Linked DNA regions of Daphnia pulex. The protein of the gene in region 2 interacts with the protein of the main gene of each other region in a pairwise test. Links are inferred from orthologs where the notes say so. Each region holds a gene or a part of one and is shown on either strand. Other genes may lie near its edges.

What was found.
Region 1: the proteins of mediator of RNA polymerase II transcription subunit 31-A-like (region 2) and methanethiol oxidase-like interact in a two-hybrid assay, tested with the Homo sapiens proteins (2 studies listed by BioGRID and IntAct). The link is inferred for Daphnia pulex from reciprocal best matches to the Homo sapiens genes MED31 and SELENBP1.
Region 3: the proteins of mediator of RNA polymerase II transcription subunit 31-A-like (region 2) and huntingtin-like interact in binary tests that used the Homo sapiens proteins (3 or more experiments, as listed by UniProt). The link is inferred for Daphnia pulex from reciprocal best matches to the Homo sapiens genes MED31 and HTT.

The regions. Positions count from the first base shown.
Region 1 is NC_060020.1:6,012,970-6,017,411, reverse strand, and holds methanethiol oxidase-like, read right to left. Parts: upstream 2,915-4,442; 5' UTR 2,747-2,914; coding exon 2,740-2,746; intron 2,572-2,739; exon of another isoform or gene 2,467-2,571; coding exon 2,297-2,466; exon of another isoform or gene 2,226-2,296; coding exon 2,040-2,225; exon of another isoform or gene 1,977-2,039; coding exon 1,817-1,976; exon of another isoform or gene 1,753-1,816; coding exon 1,685-1,752; exon of another isoform or gene 1,613-1,684; coding exon 1,546-1,612; intron 1,485-1,545; exon of another isoform or gene 1,471-1,484; coding exon 1,305-1,470; intron 1,240-1,304; exon of another isoform or gene 1,231-1,239; coding exon 1,070-1,230; exon of another isoform or gene 1,008-1,069; coding exon 886-1,007; exon of another isoform or gene 809-885; coding exon 669-808; exon of another isoform or gene 599-668; coding exon 476-598; exon of another isoform or gene 407-475; coding exon 367-406; 3' UTR 226-366; downstream 1-225. Other genes in the region: uncharacterized protein LOC124192778, read right to left, coding at 1-73; dihydroxyacetone phosphate acyltransferase-like, read left to right, coding at 3,598-3,819, 3,903-4,275, 4,335-4,379, 4,442-4,442. UniProt on the Homo sapiens protein: Catalyzes the oxidation of methanethiol, an organosulfur compound known to be produced in substantial amounts by gut bacteria. Selenium-binding protein which may be involved in the sensing of reactive xenobiotics in the cytoplasm.
Region 2 is NC_060024.1:13,245,136-13,247,932, reverse strand, and holds mediator of RNA polymerase II transcription subunit 31-A-like, read left to right. Parts: upstream 1-1,373; 5' UTR 1,374-1,514; coding exon 1,515-1,527; intron 1,528-1,605; coding exon 1,606-1,686; intron 1,687-1,743; coding exon 1,744-1,840; intron 1,841-1,899; coding exon 1,900-2,110; 3' UTR 2,111-2,198; downstream 2,199-2,797. Other genes in the region: 2-oxo-4-hydroxy-4-carboxy-5-ureidoimidazoline decarboxylase-like, read right to left, coding at 2,343-2,538, 2,611-2,764. UniProt on the Homo sapiens protein: Component of the Mediator complex, a coactivator involved in the regulated transcription of nearly all RNA polymerase II-dependent genes.
Region 3 is NC_060020.1:1,047,149-1,050,804, reverse strand, and holds part of huntingtin-like, read right to left. Parts: coding exon 3,442-3,656; intron 3,380-3,441; coding exon 3,275-3,379; intron 3,220-3,274; coding exon 3,030-3,219; intron 2,950-3,029; coding exon 2,631-2,949; intron 2,570-2,630; coding exon 2,449-2,569; intron 2,389-2,448; coding exon 2,203-2,388; intron 2,137-2,202; coding exon 2,013-2,136; intron 1,952-2,012; coding exon 1,833-1,951; intron 1,763-1,832; coding exon 1,531-1,762; intron 1,464-1,530; coding exon 1,266-1,463; intron 1,203-1,265; coding exon 1,015-1,202; intron 946-1,014; coding exon 759-945; intron 696-758; coding exon 548-695; intron 485-547; coding exon 400-484; intron 325-399; coding exon 162-324; intron 88-161; coding exon 1-87.

The DNA.
Region 1 (4,442 bases), on a different chromosome or scaffold from region 2:
CTTGAATGTCGCAACGCACGGATTGTGAGCGCGCTCGATCGATACGGCTGTGGATGAGCATGTTCTCCTCCATCGGGTCAGCGCGTCGACTACACGCTCCATTGGGCAAAAGAGACGAAGCCGACTTCTATATAGAGACCAATCAGCGGGCTCTCAAATTGAACCCCTCTTCCATCCTGGAGGACGTCAATGCTTCATCACTGAGAATAAACTATCGCAAAACGGTCCAACTGAAACCATGTGTATTTATGAGCCGGCTCTCCAATTTGATTGCTATTCCAGATTTGATGCTACGCTATTGTACAGTGTATAATATGACGTCGTCCGAACTTGGGCAGCACAAGTAACGTTTAGACGATGACCATTTCAGAGCCAAATGTCCGAACTGCAGTCGCCACCGGGATATCTGTTATTAGCCAAGCAATTTCAATCAAAATGCAGCTAGATTGGCATTGGAGCGACACAGCTTACATACCGAATTTCGTGAGCAAGAACTGGGCCGTCTGGCTCCGCTCCAAAATCGACCATTAGTTTTGGATTAATCTTGAGGCCGCCAACATTGACGTCCACGTCAATCTGTAGCAGAACGGATCCTTTTCTAAATGCGATTAAGAACTAATTAAATACGATTGGGGGACGAGTTGATTTTCTTATAGAAAAAAACGCACTCGACCATATCCGGATAAAATTGACGGTCCCATGGACTGAAAAGTGACGTGGTAACGTATAATCTCCGGCCATCGAGGGAGAGCTGGAGCATCTGAGGCCCACCGTGGAATCGCTTCCCATTCACTACCAACGGTTCTGGCTGTTAATTAAATTCAATTATTCAATGTCCACTGGGACAGAGCCAAATTTAATAAGAAAGAAGAATATGCTGCCAACCGCTTTGACATTGTCTTCTAAGATGGTTACGCCCCCTCCACTCACGGCGCTTCCGCCAACGTAGATCTGCCCTACTAGCTTGGGGTGGGCTGGGTCGCTGATGTCATACTGCCGTATGTCACCTGAAGAAATCACCCTACAATTAATGATTCATTACAAGATATAAGAACAACAACCCTGATACCTTGCACCCAGTTGGAGAGATAGAGAAAACGATCGTCCATAGAAATAAGTATGTCGGTGATTATTCCAGGCATGGACGGCAGAGCCCAGTTGGAGACTTTCCACGACGGCACATCGATAACTTTATCCGCCGCCCATTTACCGTCTTCCAACTGATGAAAACTACAAGTAGTAAGTTTAGTAAGAAATATGGTAAGAACTTTATGGCTGATATCAGGGACATTTTGTATTCATACCGGAAGACGTTGGCGGTCAAAGCGCAGCCCACGAATCCAGTTGTGGCAGTCGGTTCGTGAAGGAAACGAATTTCAAGAGGCATCAATCCCTCACTACCCAAGTCCAAGGTCTGAATTTTCTTATGTTCTTTCCAGTCCCACACATGCAGAGATTGGCCATACATGCCTAAATTTCAGAAGGTGAGTTAGACAATTTGCACGGTTATTTAAATGTATGACGTAATTGTGGTTTATTATATACCTGCAGACACGTGATCCAAGGAAAATCCAGTGCAAAAAGCCGACGGAGAACCCCACTCGGAAGAGATCTAACACACAACATTAAAAAAATTATTGTACATCGTACATTTAGAAAGCTAAAAAAATAAAGCTTTACGAACCATGACATTATGACGCGGCTGATACCAAAAGTCGTAACCAAAATTCGTGGAATCTTCACTCCACAAACCTTCGCATCCAATAATGTTTATAGGTATGCGTATAATGAAAAAAACGAGAATCTATTGATGTACCTTTAATCTTCCATTCCTTTGTATCAATCAAGAAGAATGATCCTTTTGCTTCCCTCTTTGCGTTACCCATTGACGACACCATTACATTACCGTCGGCTAAGCAATGAAGAGTATGTGGCGCACTGAGATCCAGGTCATGCATTTCTTTAGGCTCAATAACCTACTCAGCCAAAATCAATCGTACATTAAAGATTTGAAAGAAAACCACGATCGTTAATAATACCTTTAGAATTTCAGGAGCTCTGGGGTTTTTGGCAACATCGATCACATAAATTCGGTCGCTAATTAGTCCTGCGACAACGAGGTTATCGCGTTTCTGCGAAGGATCGTCGTAGCAACTACTGCAGGAATTCCAACCACTGTGATGCAATTCGTCGTTCGCATAAGGCATAATCGTTCGGTGAATTACCTAACATTAGAAAATTCCCCAAAAAATCAGTGTGCCTAAAGTTTTCAATTAACGTTTAGACATTTATTCACTTGACTATACGTTGGGCTGCTTGGATCAACATCAATCGTGGCCACGTAATCATGTTTCCCCTTTTCCCCTTGGATGCATGTTATGTACAAAAGTTTTTCCGGGGAGGCTTTTGTAGCTTCGAGAGGCGAAGCATAGCCGGGACCGCAAGCGCAGCACTTACTTCCTCCGTCTAGACATTTTCAATTCAATTATCATTTAATGTCAGGCTTCAATGCTAGTGTTGTACATGTGGCCTATATTTCGTTATTTCTTAATTAAACAAAGCAGCATTTGTTATCACGTAGTCATTCAGTTGAACATGGAATCTAACTTATGTCGGTCTGTTCCACTGTAAATTGACAATAAGTGACGTGAGACAGTAAGCGGCCGATTAATGACATGTGGATTTGAGGCTCATGGGCGTGGGGTTTACGTAGTACTTTAAACATGGATAAGAATTTACCTTCCATAATGCTATGTAAACTAAAGCCGACTAGCTGAGAAAGATTTGGTGGTGGTAGAGATAGTCTTGGTGGTGGTTGTAAATATAATCTAGTCGTCGACTAAGAATCCCGTTCGTCGTGATAAGCATACCAACCTGACATAAGAGTAAAAACTGTTGTCTAGTATAAACAGCGCTACTAGCGGCCAAGTATTAAACACGAAACTCTCTTATTTTGGTTTAAGCGGAACAAACAACGCAAACAACATAGGCTTTCACTATCGCATATGTTATCGTTATATAAACTTTCTTGAGTTTTCGTTGTCCATGAACTGTAGGTTTATGATTATTTTTTTCCGAAGTGAATTCGAAAGTGAAATAGAATAGCGATCATAAAATTTTTAAAAATGTCTTATTTTCTTAAAGGAAACTAGCTAGAAGCTAGCTGTCTTTGGAGAAAAATAATTATCTACGCAAGAATATTAATAAATTGAAAACCATTGAAATTCAATAAATTACGTTCGTACTTGAATTTCAGGTTGTTTAAATTTGTTTCAGTTTAATGACAATCTTAAGATAAGGTCAGGTCACTGTGTTATCGGCTTGTTGCACAAAAAAATAATTTTTAAAATTTATTAATGATGTTTTATAGCTTTTGCGATAATAATACCAGATCTGGCAGCTAAGCCGAACACGGTGAAAGTTATCGCCTAGAGCATGCCCAGTGCCTACAGGTTTTAAAATGTCAGTCCCTGTTTGGTCTGTAAACATGACAGAACTGTAAAGAAGTACTTGGCAGAAGTTACTGCCGACTCTGATATTAGATATGAAAATAGTGTAGTGTTACAAATAAAATTGTCGTGATAAGTTTTAGAAAAAATGGAATCCATTGATATTGAGAAGAAAGATATGGCTACAACCGATCCCTCAAGGTTCACAGTAAAAGATTATGTTGATATTGTGGAAAAGCAAAAGTATCAATTTGATGCATTCTTTTGCCTTAAATTTTGGAGACCTAAGCCTAACTTACATCCTGAAGCAACCAAGTTTATTGCTGATAGTATACTTGAAAGTCCACGTATGAAAGACGTCATTCATCAAGTAATAGAATACCCTTTATCTTAAGTCTTAACTGCTGATTTCAGCATTTTTTTTTGCCTTTTTAATCAATTTTATTCTTACAGCTTCTCCTTGAAGGTCATAATGGTGTAAACAGCTATGAAAACATTGTTGTCCAAATCAAAACCATTTTGGAGGAAATGGGTCATACATACAGTCTTGGTACTATCCGTGTAATTGGTTTTTTCCTTGCTAAGCTGCTGAGAAATTTATATCAAGGTGTAGCAATTAACAACTCTGCTGTCCTGAAGGTAAAAAAACTCATATTTTATTTCTTAAATGAAATCCAATATTTTTTTTTATCACAGCTCAGTAAGGCAATGTCTGAAGGACCTGTTTTAATCTTACCCACACATAGAAGCTATGCAGATTTTCTGCTAATATCATATCTTTGCTATACTATGGATATCCCTCTTCCTGTTATTGCCGCGGGAATGGGTATACGTATAGTTCTTTTTCTTTCGGCTACGATGTTTACAACTTTATGTTTGTTTCAGATTTTAAAGGAATGAAATTTGTGAATCGTGTGCTGCAAAACGCGGGTACAATGTAGCGAAGTCTTTAGAAAAAGTACATGTTTGAACTATTTATACATTTATTTTAGG
Region 2 (2,797 bases):
TTCAACGGCAGGTTAACATCACAACAGTTGCCGAAAGTATAGAGACGAGGCGGAGTCAGTTTTTGGGCATTGTCCGTCGCACGTGCCACCGCCCACCGGTTCGTCTACCTAGTGGCAAAAGCGTTATTAATATGGCGGGGAAATGTAATGAGAATCTTTTCCACGAAAATTTGAAACTCCTCAGGTAAAAAAAAAAAAGGCTGATATGGGTCAGGCAATAAGCGGCAGGTGATTGATAAAAGCCCACACTGCCTCAGCAACAGCTGGATCATTTTTGTCATGTCACGCCACCTGTTGCTACCTACGCTCTACTGAATTCTGTGCTATCAATGATGGAATATTACTCCATCATTTATCCCGGACCGACGGCAGAAATCCGCGTTGAATCTATTTGTTACTCCAATCACGTCACTTTGCTGATTGAACTTATAATCATAGAAGAGTGGAATTTCAAGCACGATTATTAGATAATACCAGGGAATTAAGATTGATACGTTCATCCTCTTGATTGTCGCATGGTCTACCGGAAAACTCGGGGCCGTAGGTGAGAACCAACCATTATACATCCGCCGAGTGCGCAGGAGGATGGCTACGTAGTATAGACCTACCACATGTACAATACGTGAATATGCACTCAGACATGATACACCGCCCTCACGGCCGCGTGCATTATCCGGATGTCACGTATACACGGAGTAGATATGACACTTTAAGATGATATTTCTGACCTATACATGGTAGAATGCTATCGCCCCCGCACCGGATATCCGATCAAAAGTGGCGAAAATAAGAACAAAAGTCAAAGAAAAATTTCAACAGATTTCGTTTGGGTTGAATATTTTTGATTAGCCTACTTTCAAATATTTCCGTTCTGGAAAAGGACGATAAAATAGTAACGGAGGCGTAGAATGTCGCATATGTGAAACAACTGGAAATCACACGGTAATATATTCCATCTTTTTATTTTTCCGTTCGCCTTTCCTGCTGAATTCATAATTTTTCTGATTTGACTTTTTTATTTTGGTATTTTTGTTTTTCAACTCCATATTCCATCTAAATTCTTCTATTGATCTTACCTCCTACAGGAAAATAAAATAACTCACGGTGCAAACTGAAGTTAGTATAGTCTAGCCGTCTAGCCTATCAGCTGCGGCTTCATGGTTTATTAGGGTCCTACGGCGCAGCGCAACCGCAAAATGTTATCCAAATTCGGAAATCAAACTGTGTGATAAGGCCACCACACACATTAATAAATTGTGGGCATGAAATTTGAAATCGTTTTAATTTTTTTTTTATTTTGTAAAAATTTTTTTAAGTTAATTCAATTTTTAATATTTTCTCGATTTCTTTCTAGATGGCATCAATTGATCAAGCAGACGACAAATTGCAAAAGTTGACGCTTTCCAATTTCCATTTCAAGTTGTTGTCTGACGTTTCCATTCTGTCCGGTTGCCTCGTTTCTAGATTTCCAAAACTGTTGAAGCAAACTACGTTATTTCGTTGTTTGCTTCGCAATGAGCACCAGAGGTAAATATATCGTGAAGTGTAGTCGTTTTCAATACAGATTCTCATTGCTATGTTATTATTCCTTTTTCCGATGGGTAGAAACTGATGAACAACAAAGGATTCGATTTCAGGTGGAACTAGAATTTGTGCAATGTTTCGCAAATCCAAATTATCTGCACTGTAAGTATTTGGTCTATTTTTAAAATCAACACTTTCATTATGCCTTGTTTACACTAGTCCTTGCTCAACGTGGCTATTTTAAGGATCCGGCGTTTGTCAACTACATCAAGTATTTACAGTATTGGAAGGAGCCTGCTTATGCAAAATATTTGAAGTACACCAATTCACTTGCAATTTACCCTAACTAGAAATTACAATTTCATTATTTTCCAGGTACCCAATGTGTTTGCATTTCCTAGACTTGCTTCAATATGAGCATTTCAGAAAGGAGGTTGTGAATGGCCAGTGTGCTCGCTTCATTGATGATCAACAAATCCTTCACTGGCAACATTACACTAGAAAGAGGGTTCGTCTTCTTCAAAGTCAAGCTGAGAAGCACATGATGACTGTTCAGAATGAGCCAACACCCCAGAAAAGTGTTTGATTCATGATAATTATTGTTTAAGGAACTTTTTAAACTTCTCTTATATTGGGCAAGTATATGCAAGACAATATAGACAAATTTTTGTAAATTGCTGTATTTTGTGTTGAGTTTTTGCAAACTACCAGACAAAATGTTAACAACACATATGTTTTGGAAGACTTGTTTTGAGTGAGAATGTTTAGAATGGAATAGCTGCTGTTGACCTCAACTGATGGGAGCGAGTGGAAAATCTCTACATATTACGAGATTTGTCATCAGTTACTATACTCAACAACCTCAAAAGGCAGATTTTCTTCACTTCTTCAATCCCAATGTTTAGTTCTTCAGCAGCTGAGTGTTCCAATCTCTCAACTATTCCTTTCAAGATTGCTTCCTTCTTGTTCTGCCTGGCACAGATAACAAAAGGAAATCCAAACTTTTCTCTGTATCTATTAAAATAATAGCCCAAAAGACACAGCTCATTAGTTACTATATAGTTATAGAACAGTAATTTGTCATACTTGATGTTGGTCTCTCCTAGCAGTTGTTTTTCACCAGGTGTCATTGTGTCTAAACCAGCAGCTTTCTGTTCAGCAGTACTCTCCTGTGTTAGGCTGCCAAGTTCAGCTAGCCTGCCAGCCAAATCAGGGTGAAGTCTTAGCACCCCCTCTTTACCTATCAAATGAGAAAACAAATGTTCAATTGATT
Region 3 (3,656 bases), on a different chromosome or scaffold from region 2:
AGGCGTCCTGGTAAAATTGCTGAGGCTTAAGAGAATCCACTCCATGACTAAACTTTGTTGTCCTTGAGTACGTGCCGTTCCAAAAACCTGAATGAATTAACCAGAGAGTAAACATCTTGGCAGTTGACAATGCCACACAAATTCTACGTTCCACGACTTACTTTGAAAATGGTTGGAGTTAAACAACAGGCAACTGTGGGTCTTGCCGTTATAAATTCACTTAAAATACGATTCAAGATGTCTGCTGGTGGGAAAATATCACAGGTTATGACGGGCATAATTCGCCCCAAAAGCTCCGCCTCTAGATCTGTTCCGCGCTTCATTCTGAGGAAATGGAAAATTAAGAAACAGATACAAATTAATAACTAAGTAAACAAGAATCATCTTATTCAGCTTTACCGTTGGAACAGGGCGCCCACCCATTCCATAGCGGCGAGCATCGTTTCAGGATCTGCTCCAGGTTTATACAATTGGCTACCAAAATCTTGAAAAAGTAAATATTGGTTTGAGAGGAGTGAAAAAACAGAGTCAGCATGAAACCCTATACCTGAATAGACTAATGACAGCAGAGTTCGTAGTGCTGGCTGTAGAATCCAATCACAATCAACATTGCGTATTAAATTGAGAACCTCTTTTTTAACTTGCGTTCGCCAAATCGGAGTCAATACGCCTAGAATGCTCAGCCGTTCTAATCCCTATAACGAATCAATAACGAGATTAGCCTACAACATAAGATCTTCAATAAATTCACGAAATACCTGTAAAATTTCTTTTGGGATCTCGTTTGATTGTTGTTCGTTTTGCACAAGCCTACTAAGAGCGCACTGAACAACAAAATCGACGACAGCATAATTCTGATAGGGCAATACTGCAAAATGTTCGCCGCAATAGAACGCTATTGACCAAACGAAGGACTGATGCCAGGTCGGACCATTGTGTTCAGGGCTTAATATGATATTTCAAATAAATAAACAGACAAATTTCTTTAAACGTAAAGAGATGAATCACACCAACCTGAGACATTTACCGACATAATCCATAGCCAGGTTGACGAGAGTGCCTGTACGAGCAAGATCTGGATTTCTGGCAAACTTTTGAAGTAGATACAAAAGACCATTTAATCCACTAGTTCGCGTGGAAATATGCTGGGAATTCAATGCGGTTTCACAGTGCTTTTTTACTAATTCCCAGTATTCCATATTCTGAGACATGAAAAAATAACAATACATTATCACAAAACTTCAGATTTCAGATGAATTTTGTACCATGGGTATAAAAGAAGCAGATTTCAAGATGCACCCTACTAAAGCGGACTCTAAGCTCGCAGGATCATCAGGAAGAAGTTGCCTGTGTAAGGTTAAGGAGTTATCCAGCATCCACTCAAACTGTTGAACATCGACAAAGAAGTTTGATATGTGCACTAGGGATTGAAACAAGTCCACTAGCAGCGGGTACGGCGTATTCTTGAGAAAAAAAAAGAAAATGTTGAAGAAAAATATCATTATTTTCTACATAGAAGATTAAGGTTACCGAATTCTGAAGCCACTGTGAGTAGAGATCCACTAAGAAGCGAACACAGGATTGGATATCTATATCTGTAACATCTTCGGGACTAGTAGCCTTCTTTTTGGATGGTGAACCTTGATCAATATTATATTGAATGTGTCTGAAGGAGTGACGATTGAGCCAATAACTGCAGGAAGATGATATCGTGTAATCTTCTTCTAGCAAATTGCAGAGTTCTTTCAGCTTCTTGCCCCTTCTACAATATCCATTAAAAATATTGACAATTAGCTATAATTAAGCGAGATTAAATAACACATTGGCTTTACTCAGTTGACGTGAACTCAGGAGGCTTGTCTAGTTCATTATTTTTCACAGATCTTGGCGTCTTAAATGGTAGATTTTTTTGAAGCACCATTGTAAGAGCTCGCACGGCTTCACATGTAGCCTTTGAATTCAAATGGTTTTTCAAAAATTGTAAGAAAAAATTACCAACTCTGTTATGATACCTGGATGACGCTTGCTTGTTCTTCGGGTCTCACTTGATCCTCATTGTGTAAGTTCAAAATGCCAAGAAAAGTCATCCAAATTTCTTCAAATTTCTTTTTGGTAATCCAGCTAATTTGCTCGATTCTTTAAGAATAAGTAAGCAGTCAGCATGATCCAAGATCCATTTATAAGAAAATGTCCCAAAATTACCGGAAAACGAATTCTTTTAAAACAACTTCATCATGCAGAAAATGTGAAGGGATTATTGGTAGATCCAATGTGATATGTTCGACATCCAAATTTAGCTCAGGATTCCAGCCTTTGCTCCAAGCGGATGGCGGAATGCAAATATAGGAATAGAAGAGTGGCATTCGACAAAACACAGTAACAGTCGACCTGAAAATAGTAGAAAAATCTTAATGAATTGATTTATCAATATTCAGAAATACAATTTACAGTAAGTCTTGATGAAGTATTCCTGGAATGTTTGATTCTTGTTCGATAAATCTAAGTATTCGGTTTAATTGTTTCGCACTCGAAACAAAGTTTGGATCAGGACAAATCATTTGCTCCAGGCCTAAATGAAAATTCGTTCGTTATCAAATCTTCAACTAAAGAAGACAATTTAGGATATTTACCGGTAATAGTAGGTTGTTCTAGAGTTGCATTGTTTCTTATCCGAATGCAAAGAGACTCCAAACAATGGATTGCCTTGTAAACAGCCGGTAGATTCTCTTTGTCTGTCCATTCAATTGCAAGTTCACGCCCAAATATGGAAACAATCTCAGAGGACGCCTGTAGAAGAACTAACGAATGGGAAAGCGAATCCATCGCACCAATTAAGGTAAGCGGTGTTTTAGCCAATATGGTGATTTCGGATGCAGTGAAAATATCGTTGACCTCCGATGGTGAGATGGATTTGCACAATGCACTGAGAATATGAGCGATTGACAGGATCTAATGGAAAAAAATGAGATGCTCATTTCATAAAAAGATAAAACCGTTCAAAAAATTAATAGCATCCGAAATCGGCGTACCTTAGAGTTGTCGAAGGCTTCGGCGGTAATCATATTTAAAAGGTATGCCTTGGCATGGTAAAAAGCATCATATTTCAATATTCGACTTCCAAGGACATATAAAAGGAAACTATGATTGCTGCACAATAACGGAAAGTCGTCTGTGTTTGTCTGAGCGACGATTTCTCTCCACATTAAAGGTTCTAACTCCCTAAATTATGAAGACGATTTAGCAAGATAAAACCAGAAAATAATTTTTAAACCACCTTTTCAACGCAAAATCCAGCACAAACGCCTTGTCGATATCTCGCAACATGCTAGACCTATTTTCAAAGGTAGCGCTTGGAACTGCTGTGATCTCGGAATACCATCTAAAAAAGAAAATTGAAGATGTCATAAAACGTAGGATAGTAGGTGGGCGAGTGCCAAGAACCTTTGATTAGCTGACTGAAGAACGATTTTTTGTACATTTTCCAAACAACGAAGCTTAGATTCAGAAGAAGTGAAATTTGCGTTTAGAACAAGTTTGCACATTCTTCTGTGCACAATGCCACTGGAAATTGTCTGAAAACTGGAAATGATATGTAAAAGAATCGCTTCCGAATTCGCAACAAGCTCGACATTCTCTATTATATTCAAAAGAGCCAT